3 linked regions of the Caenorhabditis elegans genome follow. The protein of the gene in region 2 interacts with the protein of the main gene of each other region in a pairwise test. Each region holds a gene or a part of one and is shown on either strand. Other genes may lie near its edges. The genes, in order: sahd-1, rike-1 and git-1.

What was found.
Region 1: the proteins of rike-1 (region 2) and sahd-1 interact in a two-hybrid assay, tested with the Caenorhabditis elegans proteins (one large-scale study listed by BioGRID).
Region 3: the proteins of rike-1 (region 2) and git-1 interact in a two-hybrid assay, tested with the Caenorhabditis elegans proteins (one large-scale study listed by BioGRID).

The regions. Positions count from the first base shown.
Region 1 is NC_003280.10:5,513,202-5,516,957, forward strand, and holds the start of sahd-1 (Deoxynucleoside triphosphate triphosphohydrolase sahd-1), read right to left. Parts: upstream 1,692-3,756; coding exon 1,668-1,691; intron 582-1,667; coding exon 439-581; intron 1-438. Other genes in the region: ZK177.3 (C2H2-type domain-containing protein), read left to right, coding at 2,660-2,779, 3,082-3,213, 3,254-3,322, 3,373-3,444, 3,705-3,756. UniProt on the Caenorhabditis elegans protein: Has deoxynucleoside triphosphate (dNTPase) activity. dNTPase activity acts as a regulator of DNA precursor pools by regulating dNTP pools. Phosphorylation acts as a switch to control dNTPase-dependent and -independent functions.
Region 2 is NC_003283.11:14,543,805-14,547,560, forward strand, and holds the start of rike-1 (RING-type domain-containing protein), read right to left. Parts: upstream 2,018-3,756; coding exon 1,969-2,017; intron 1,926-1,968; coding exon 1,717-1,925; intron 1,677-1,716; coding exon 1,058-1,676; intron 905-1,057; coding exon 693-904; intron 602-692; coding exon 391-601; intron 346-390; coding exon 1-345. Other genes in the region: C53A5.13 (Fibronectin type-III domain-containing protein), read left to right, coding at 3,137-3,188, 3,235-3,381, 3,479-3,597.
Region 3 is NC_003284.9:10,522,954-10,526,709, reverse strand, and holds the start of git-1 (Arf-GAP domain-containing protein), read right to left. Parts: upstream 1,813-3,756; 5' UTR 1,793-1,812; coding exon 1,768-1,792; intron 1,722-1,767; coding exon 1,602-1,721; intron 1,455-1,601; coding exon 1,373-1,454; intron 1,318-1,372; coding exon 1,246-1,317; intron 1,190-1,245; coding exon 1,037-1,189; intron 969-1,036; coding exon 785-968; intron 739-784; coding exon 433-738; intron 389-432; coding exon 192-388; intron 149-191; coding exon 1-148. Other genes in the region: Membrane-bound acylglycerophosphatidylinositol O-acyltransferase mboa-7, read left to right, coding at 2,153-2,306, 2,349-2,418, 2,465-2,594, 2,845-2,983, 3,100-3,248, 3,295-3,389, 3,435-3,609, 3,657-3,756.

The sequences.
Region 1 (3,756 bases), on a different chromosome or scaffold from region 2:
TTGTTTAATGCACGAATGTGCCCTTTATGTGCACTGTAATTTCAAACTATTGATGCAACGATTTTTTCCCGGATTTTCAATAGTTTTTGGAAAAAAGTCTTGGCAAAATTTGGCTCACGGTCTGCCAACTTCTGAACAAAATTAATATTTTATATATATATTATAAATATCAGCAAAACCTGCAGTAATGTAGTACTACTGTAGGAATTACGGAAGGGGTACGCTTGGGGCCATTGTATACAATATCCCACCGTACCTAATCTGGGTGTCTCTGGAATTGGTCGAAAAAGCTTATTAGAACTGGTTTTTTACTAATTAGAAGTGGTTCCATCTTATCTGAGTAGGTTCTACGCGACGACTACATTTTGTACAATATCAATAAAAGGTGATCCAACTTTTTTCTATAACTTCCTCATAACTGCAGCTCTACAAACTTACGGGGAAGATGATGGGGTTGCAATATTCAAAGAACTCAGTCGACGCCGAACTTCTTTTGTGTGAATCTTTGGAAACCATGGTTGGCCACTGTCCATGACGGATGCACTCCGATATCGGGGACCTTTCAAACTTGTGGTGGTATTCTGAAATTCACAATTTCAATACCTAAAGCCCATTTCAGACTTAAAAATAGTTTTGCAATAGAAATGAATGAAATCATTACTGTTGTCCAACATTATGCACCTATATATATATCACTTGGCTCTCAACAAGGAACGCAAAAAAATGACACGTGATTTTTATAGAATGATTGTTTTGAAACTTTGTATTAAAAAGGACACTATGATGAATTAATAATAAAACAAACATTCAGAGTACGAGTAGTTGATATCAGAGCACTAATATGAGGAATACGGTAGATCCTACTTTCCTACTTTGTCAGAGTTTCGAACGAACGCTAAGAACTCTGGAAACATTTTTTTGCGATCAACACATATATATGTATCAGCAAAACCTGAAGTAATGAGAGTACTACTGTAGGGATTACGGTAGGAGCGTCTGAAGATCTCATAGTTCAGTTAATTCTGGAGTAGTTCAGGTTGTGCCTTTATACCAGAGCTTTGCGATTTGATAGAATATTTGAAGTTAAATTAATGTGACTAGATCTTAACGGGTTTTATTATAGTTTGAGTGAAATACACACTGATCAGCCCTATATTTGGTTTATACAACTCCGGTAGATACCTACCTATTCAGCAAATGTTACACATTTAAAAATTTGTTAACTGAGAAAATTACCAAAACTTATCAGCTAAAGAGTTGGACTCGGGCTTGACCTAGCGATACCTCTCCTTTCAGGAGCAGTGGTGGACACTTTAGTGATTGATTTGAAGACTTAAAATATGTTTTACTAACACACATTATCTTTAACTTATTTTTAACCAAGATTAAAGTTCGTGCCATAGAAAAAAGTGCCGAACATTCTGTGATAACTGAGGTGTCTTTGTACTCTAACTCCACCCTCACTATCATTAAGATTGCTCACGTGATGAGGGACCAACTATCTCAAAAGAGCACGAAACTCTGGTCCCATGCCATCATCCAGAAAGTTGTGATGAGGAATAAAAAAAAAAGAAAAACAACAACATCTCATTTTCAGACACACACTTGTCCACACTAAAGACGATTCGAACATTGATAGGTGTAACAATGTCACCAAAAAAACTTGCCGTTTCGATCTTAAAGTGATACATTTCAGTAGTTGAGAAGAGGGTCTGGTGACGAGTGTTCAATTGTCTGCAAAACTGAAACAAAATAAGTTAATAAAGTGAATAACAAAATATTGAGAAAAAGACGAGAACGAGGGGAACTCTGCTGGTCACTTTGGTTTTATCTTGTCATTTATCAGTACGTAAAACGTCACGGGGCACATGCCATGTTGCGGGAAAAAGATGAAAAGAAAGCATTCATAAATAACGCATAAGTATACTGAAACTGTTGTCCCCTGGAAGGAGATTGAAATAATAGGAATATAACTCAGAAAGTATGTTCAAGAAGCTGTTTTAGAAAAAATAGAAAAACTTTCTATCATATTGATTTTCCTAGCGAAAACTCAGTTTTAGCAATTGGCCGAAACTTTTGAAAATCGAACATTTGTTGAACTGTACATATTGTTATAAAATTTTGTCATGTTCCCATTGATTTACCACTGAAGATAATGCCTTAATTGAACTTCCAAGAAAATTATTCAAATACGAAATCTAAACTGTTCAAAACTCAAAACAGCGAAGATCAGGCAGACACATCCACCTGACGCGGCTTTTTTCATGCTTTCAACAATTTTCAACAACAAAATTAGAACTATGTTAAAACCGTATAATGAGCATTTGACATATTCTGATAAACTATAAGAGTATAGATAGGAAAGGTACGGAAACCGCACTTTTATCATAAAGTACACGTCATTTTCAATCTTTTTTTGCTTTATCAATTAAAAAAAACTTGTTTCAAAAACTATAATTTCCCTCCTTACAGTTCGGATCAATGTTCTATGCATATTTATTTTCTCCTCTTCCCACACCACGTACAACCATCATTTTCCCTTTGGTATCCCTGCCGAATAAAATGTGATAATTCTGCCTCCTAATAAAAAATACGGGGGAGCGAAATGTGCCCAGTTTTTCTTTTTTGACAATTTTCTTTTTTTCCATTTCGAGAATAAATGGAAGAATCACCCACAAAAACATTCAAATGTCCAAAGTGTTGGAACAAGTTTGAGAATAAACCAAAACTGATTACTCATGTCGATTTGGAATGCAAACATAAATATTTTAGATGCGAGGTAGGTGTCTTTTTTGTTTATTAAAACGGTTTCTTAAAGTAAATTTTAAAAATTTGTTTGATGTTCCGACAGTTCTTTTCTAAAATGTTGTTTTTATTACATTTTTGACATGTTTAGGTGAGTAGCTTTACGTTTTTTTTTTCAAATAATCCTTCCTGGAATTGAAGTCAAGTTCCATCTGCTCAAAGCGTTGCTTTTCCGCTGTTGCAGGGGATGGAGACGACTTGCCGTCATGGAGATATGAAAACACACCTCACTATCAGTCTGAAAAAAGTAGGCTTTAGATAATTTTTCAATTTCAGTTATGTGACTTCAAATCAACTCAAAAAACTGGACTCACCAGTCATTATCACGGCCACATTCGTCAGTCAAATGTCATCCACTGTCCATATTGCAAAAAGAAGAAAACGTTCAAAAGCAGGAACAATTTGATGGTAAAAAATTATTTCTGATGAATTTTAAAGTATATTCCAGGTACATGTTCACCATTATCATCCCACGCATATAAACGAAATGAAGCAGGCAAACTTGGAAAGTGCTAAAGTGAGTCTGTCAAAAATTCTGAAGGAGCTTATGAACTTATATGTCCGCAGGAAGAAAAAATGAAGACAATGTTGGAAAAGCAAGCAAAAGAAGCACACGAATTCGAAATTTCACAACCAGCGGTAAGTTGTTCATTTCATTTATTTCAATTTACTGTAAGTAGCCTGAAGTTGACTTTTCCAAAAATTATAACTACTCAATTTATTATTATAATGAAAATTTATTTCAAATCTCCAACTATGAAAAGTGATCTAAGGCATTCAATACTTCATCAAAATATTTCTCCCATTGCCATTTGTAAGAAAATATTTAAGTTTTATAAGGCTTTGAGAGTTTTTTAAACCTTCAATATTTTTTTCAACTCAAGAGTAACAACTTTCAGGTATTTGAAAAGGATTTCGCGAGTTATGATCTACCGATGTTTTCTCAATGCC
Region 2 (3,756 bases):
CTGGATCAAATCGCTCGACTTCATTGATTAAGCTCCAATTGTCAGCACATCCGCGAATAGCATAAATAGCTTCGTTCGTCGAGTGAAGAGTGAAATATTTTCGATCTTTGCTCAACGATGGCTCATCTCTCCATGATTTCGTCAATGGATCATAGCTTCGAACTGATCTCAACGTATTACTCGAGTTACTCCATCCACCAGCAATGTAGATTCTTCCTCTGAAGGCACACGATCCAAATCCGGCGCGACTTCCTTGCATGTCGCCCACAATTTCGAACTTTTGACCAGGTTCTGACAGCTTCTCAATCTTCTCTTCATATTCTTTTCCATTGAAACCTCCCAACACTGAAATTAAACCTTTTTTAATCAACTAATTAATCGAAATCATACCATAAACCTCTCCATTGCATGGAACAACCGCTGCATCGGCACGAGGCCTTTGCAACGATGGTCCATCCTTCCACTCTCCTTGATCAGTATCATAAACTTCCACAGAATTCATATAAGTGCTATCATATCCACCGGCCACGTACATTTTGTTGTTATGGATTCCCGCCGACGTTCGTGTTCTTCCACGCTTCATTTTATTACACTGTAATAACTTTGACATTTTTGTTGAAATCAATAAAAATTATTTGTTTTAAAAGTTTACAATTCTAGAGAATTTTTTAAAAGCTGAAAGAATAACCCACATCTCTTCGCAAGTTTTTCTCCCGATCATACATTTCAACGTTGTTCAACCATGATCCGTTATTCATTCCTCCGACTATATAAATTTGAGATTTGCTGCAGGCAACAGCGTAGTTTGATTTTGGGTTCGGCATTCGCCCAACTGGCGTCCATCCTCTGTTTTTAGGATCGTAGACTCCAATCAAAAGTGGTTCACGGGCACTCTGCTTTCGATCTGGAAAAAAAGAATAATTTTGAGAGATTTTTTAGACTGGAATCGCGGGAGGAGTCTGTATAAAATGCAAAAGCATGATAACAACGAACGACACGCGAGCGTCGCGATGAGCTTTTTTCGTTCAAGAATGCACAACATAAATATAACTTTTACCTGCAACCAATACGGGATCCTGACTAGCGAAAACGAAATTTGCCTTAGTAACAGGTTGTTTAGTTTGAAAAACGATTCGATCGTGCTCTTCGATTTCGTTATTCAAAAAATCCAATCGTGTTCCAGCATCTTTGACAAGAGCTATCGTATCACTTATTTTCTCCATTTCAGCTTCGATGTTGTTGAAGTGAGTCTTTCTTCCGGGCGGAGACAACTTTTCATGCTTTTCGAAGTAATTTTGAAGTGATTTAATTGTCGCCGCAAATTTGTCAGAGATATCATCGCACACCTGCTTCGAAAGCTCACTGATTTTACTGATTTTATTTCCGAGATTAGTCGGTGCTTGATCTTCGATACTATTTTTCAAAAGAGCCAGCTGCATTGTCTGATGTCCTTCGTGTTGGGCCCCATCCAAAGCACAATCACCGCAAATCGCCATCTTCTTAGCTCGTGTCATTGCTTCATCGACTCCATCATCTCCAACAACTAATACTAATTCTTTTTTGCCTTCGGCTTGCTTCAGAACTCCTTTTCCGACGGCGCACGTTTTACAAATTCGTAATTTCTTGGAATGTAGGGTGCACTCACTGCATGTTCCTTCGTCTAAGCTCTGCAAAAACTTTTTCTGGGTTTTTATAGAAAAAGGAAATTATACTTACATTTGTGGATTGTGCCTGTGGCGCTACTCCCCCACTTTGCATACTTTTAAAGTGCTTTATTAATTCTAAAACTTGATAATTGATTGTAGTAATTGCGAAGGCTTCTTCTCGATTGCACTGTGGACATTTTGATGAGACCATTTGATGTTTGCAACTTTCACATATGGAGTGGCCGCATGTGCCTATGCAAGGTTTCCGGAGTTCGGTGTCTGAAATTTAGAAGTTTTTTTCGAAATTCATTAATGTGCTCACCATATTCATTATAACAAATTATGCATTCTGTTGTATTCACAATTGACATTTCTTGAAAATTATTGTGTTTGAACCAACTGTTGACCCGTCTTGTCTGAAAAGAGGTTCAATGTGTGTGAAATTATCGATTTTTAGGGAAAACTTGCGCATTCGATTTTGCAAAAGGATTTTCTAAAATAAAATAAGAATAAGATATTTTCCGCGCGGATGAGTGGTGTGCGGCACGCGAATAAATTTCTATCCGGAAAATTTTCGGCGGAAAATAAATATTATTTATGGATATATCCGGATACTTCGAAAGGGCGCATTTGCACACGCAAGGATTCTAGGCCGCGAAGCTTGACATTAATTTATCAAAACCCATTTGGATTTCGAATCCGAAAGAAATTCGATAGATTTAAAAGTGATTCAATTTTGACGATTGGAGAAATTTCGAAAACATGCAATATTGAAATAGTTTTATTTTGAAACACAGGAACAAAACAATGAACAGCGAAAATTCGGAAGAAAACTAGAAGATATTATAAAATAAGAATGAGCAAGGCGCGTTTATCCGTCGACAAAGAGAATGAGAGAAACATACGGACATTGCCACGGTTAAAAAAGGAAATAGAATATCCTAAAAAATGATGAAAATCATTGCTTTTAAGTAACTGTTTTAGCATTATTTGAAATGTTCTGTTTCCTCATATAAAATTTCTCAGATTTTAAAAAATTGCTTGAAATCAAAATTTCCCAACTCTTTCTAATACTTATTTGAACCTAATGAAGAAGCCACGCTCATTTTGAAACCATTCACCATATTCTAATTTCGCTTTTTTGTGCAGTTCTAAATTTAGAGAAAATTCGATCAGGGAAATTAGCCAAAGTTGGAAATTTGCAATTTTATATCCACCTTTCACAGAATTTCTCATTTATTTCCAGTTCGTTTTACAGATATCTAAAAATTAGGACAGGTTTGAATTACTGTATTCAAGGTTTTTTTTATTGCGACACGATAAAATGCCTTTCTCCTACCGATATCAAATTTTCGTTATTTTTCTCTTCTCTCGTTTTCAAAGACCAAGAAAGAATTCTATCAATATTATCCTTTTTGACACACGATGATTTCTCCTTTTCTCTTCATCCAATCTAATTTTTCTGTTTTCACAACGTCAATCTAATTCGAATGCGATTTCCCATACACTTTCTGATTTTTATTCCGTACTTAATACTCGTTTGTAAGTTAATAAGCTCGTAGTTCTATAAATAGTTTCGAATTATTAGCAGGAGAAAACGATATCGATGAAGATCGAGAAGGTGATGGTGTCGATGTAATTGAGGTTAGAAATGACGCAATTCGAATTCGATGGAAACATGATTCCGATGAAGAAATTGTGACAAGACAACGATTAGTTGTAACTGTTATGAGAAGTACGAGCTCTGGCCATTTTGAACATTCAGAATATAGAATATATGATAGGCTCACAATATAATTGTTATCTTACCAATTTGAGTTTTACGATTTCAGGTTCACAACAAACGGAAAAATCATCTCAAACAGTTTTGGTTGATGCATTTTTGCGCGACTACACATTTATTGGATTAGCTGGAAACACAACTTACCGTCTATCAGTGGAAGCTTTCAAGGTATCCTATATGAATGCTTTCTTGTGAACAAGTATATCAAATTATGTAGTTCCGACGTTGTTGCGGTGGCGGTCCTCGGAAATGAAGAACCACTCCTTTCGGGCAGAGATGCTATCTGAAAAATTTGATAAATATATAATGTATTAAAGAGACGATATT
Region 3 (3,756 bases), on a different chromosome or scaffold from region 2:
TGAAAGTCTTTCTTTCATTTCCAATAGTTCGTCCCACACTCTGCTGCTCGATTCATCTAACGTATTAGCCTGAGAGTTGGGAACAATTCCCGAAATTGGACTGCATGATATTCCAGCTACTTCATCATAATCGGCGTATTCGCTTTTTCTGTAAGATCAAATTAAATTACACACGTCTAAGATCCACTAACTTCATAATTCTAAGTGGAGTGTCGTTTGACTTTCGCATATTCTTGGGTGGTTCGGATACTGGTGCTGGATTGTCTCCAGTGATTCTGCGCTTTTGGTCTTTGATTAAGTCTATCAGGAGAATTGTGAACTGAATTGGAGTGAATTTGGCAAGTTTCTGTCTTCTTTGGTTGCGAGCAGCTGACATTTGAGGAGTTGGCTATAAAAATATTTATAGCTTGAATGGGTTTCATAAAACTATACCGGCAAGAAAAGGTTTGTTGGCCCTTTGGCAGTTTTTGCCCATTTTGTCATGTTCCAGTTGACTTCATTTTCTCTGCGAACTGTTTCATCAAACGCATCTTCACATAGGTCAAAGAATTGACCTTTCGGGAGAACTGAGATCGCTGCTCTCGAATCATTAGTTTTTGTCAGGAATTGTTTTTCAGTGACTTCAGGAATGAAAAAGTCCTGGTTGTTCTTATGATCTGCTTTTCGATTGCACATGAAAAATGAGAAGCGATCAAAAACGTAGAAGAAGAATTCATAAATGCGATGTGAAAGTTGGCCCTGAAATGCTTAACTGAACAAGCATATTGAGAGTAAGAAAACTTACATGCCCCGCATCTCTAGCAAGAATGTATGGAAGCATTCCTTCTCTATTTGGTGCCATAATGTCAGCTCCATACAGGAAAAGAAGTTCTACTTGATTTGAATTGCCTTCTCGGGCTGCAACATGAAGTGCAGTGTCCCCAGTTTCTGGATCAGGATAGTTTACATCAGCTCCGAGAGCGATGAGTCTGAAATTTAAAAGTTTGTGTTGTTGCTATGAACTTCGTCCCTATAATGTTTTTGAAGTCACAAGCACCTTAAAGTGACATGAGCAAAATCACTGCGAGCACATGCAATGAGTTGTCGATTCAAACTATTCTCCAAATCTTCATCCTTTCCTCTTTTCGGTTGGAATGTCAGCTTCTCGTATTTTTCCTTCACAAATTGTTCTTTGATATGAGATGGGTCTCTACAAAATTGTTTTACAAAATTGTTTTACAGTTTAATTCAATAGCAAAAACTCACTGGGCCATTGGTTTCTGAAACTTTGTTGATCCCTCATATAAAGCACTTTCCCATATCATGTTGGTGTTAGATCTGAAAAAAATAATAGATAATTCCATTATTATGTTTAAACTATTCTAAAACATACGTGTTAAGAGCGTGAACAAGACGAATATGCTCCTCATCCCAAGCACTCTTGCGCAGATGACGGAGATAGCTCACTGACGGGCCTGTGAGTGTACTATTTATCGATTTTCATACAACCGGGGTCTTGGGAAAACAACGGAGAATTTGTGTAAATTTATAGATTTTATAGTCGGTGTTATTGAATAGTATTCAGAAGTTTTAATAGAAATTTAAAGTTTTTTTAAACTTACCAAGATAACTATGAAAACAGAAACATTCGGAGCAAATCACGGTTCCCTTTTTTACCGACGCCCATTCGACTTCTTTTTTGCCGCAGTCATCGCATTCCTTTTGCTCAAGTGATGTTATGACTGAAAAATATCCATTTTTTGTTGTGAAAAATACTATAAAACTTACGGTCAAGCGCCTCTGCTGTGTACATTTTTCAACCACTATTACTACCTGCAAAATATGAGAAAATTGAATGAAAAGATATATGAAAAATGACGGCAACTGTTAAAATCACACACTAATAACATAAGAAACGACTAAAGACTAGAAAAAGTGATTGTATCATTCTGCGGGGGACAAAAGTTGCAAACAAGGCCGTTTCGGATCTCATCACGCAGTGCGCACTCCAAGTGTTCGTAGTAATGCGTCCGCAAACACGTCAGCTGCGTGTTGACGCGTTTCCCCACGCAGCTGGCACATTTATCGACGTACACAGTTTATGCCATTAATTTTTTGTTCGCCAGTACGGTTTATTCTTGTAAAGTATTCGTTTTTTGTTTCAGGTAATATCATGGAAAATATCCTTGGCTTGATGTCCAAAGATGATTGGATATACACCGGATTGTTGCTTTTCTCTTTTGGAGCATCTTGTTATGTACGGAAAATTGGAAATAATATATTGGCATCTGGAGCACTCGGATTTGCTATGTCTCTTTTTATTATTGGTAATTGAAAATGACAATAAAAACCAAAATGGCATGTTGCAGGTCCAAAAATTGTATATTCACTGGGAATTTGTTCGATTGCGATTTCGATTCAACTGTTGGCTAACAAAAAGTAATATTACAAGAAAAAACGAGTAGAAACTAATTTAAACTTGCAGGAGCACACCACTCTACGTTTTCCTCACAACATTCACTTATCTGATGTTTGTTCGATTTGCGCATTACATTTTGCCTGTCAACGAAGTCGCCAGCCACACCAATGTCATTCAACTGATTATTACTTTAAGAGTAAGTTTTTTGTTTCAGAAAAGACGTGTTCATTACGGAGAGTTTGTTTTCGTAATAGTTGAAAATATTTCCTTCTTCAAAAACAGTAAAGAAAAAGCATATATATTGTTTGTGAAACAACTGCACTAAATTTCTATACTAGGTAGTGAGTTTAAATAGTGACTCATTCCTCGATGGGTCTTACAACGATTGAAATTATTTTCCAAAATAAGTGTTTTACTGGAATATTTATTTTTTGAAACTATTTCAGATAATTGGCATCACCTTTGAAGAAAATGACGCGTGGGTTCACAAAAGCGATGAGAATCCGACGAAAAGATACTTAACAGAGCTTCCTACTATTTTGGAGAAGTTTGCCTACTTTTATCATTTTTGCGGACTTTTCACGGGTTAGTTTGAGTTGACCAGAAATGTGTATTTCAGCAGCTGCTCAAATAAACTCTGCATAGTAAATTTCTAAATAGACATTTGGGAACAATATGCAATTATTATTAATTGTTTTCAGGACCATACTACACATATCAAATGCTTATTGATTCTCAAAACCCAATTCTAAAATCATGGGATCCCACACTGGAAGTGAAGTCTAGATTTGTTCGTCTCCTCTGGTCGGTTCCAGTTTTTGTGATCACGAACCACTATTTCCCACTTGATGTGCGTTTCCCAACAATGCTTTTCATTTTTAAACTTGCCCATTCAGATACTTCGATCGGATGCAATCTGGGAGGTCTCATTCTTTACTCGACTCGTCTACGCTGCTCTAATTTTTGTTGTGTTTAAAACAAGAGTATACAGGTTAGTTATTTCACTACTTTTTGTAATAGTATTAACAAATTTCAGTGCCTGGGCAATTGCGGAGTCGATTTGTGTTATTCTCGGAATCGGAATTTACCCAGCTGCTTCAAATCCAAAAATCATCATGGGACCAACGGATTTGAATGCTTTCGATAAGCTGAAAACAAGAGAAAACATTGAAATGAGCAGTGACGCAATTGTTAATTTAGATATTCCAAAAGTTTGTCCTTTATTTAATTATTATTTTTCATTTGCTTTTCTTCTCAGGTTGAGTTTTCTGATGGATTCCGCGATGGAATGAAAGCTTGGAACAGATCGGTTCAAACGTGGCTGGCTCTTTATGTGCATTCGCGCGTTAAAGTGATGA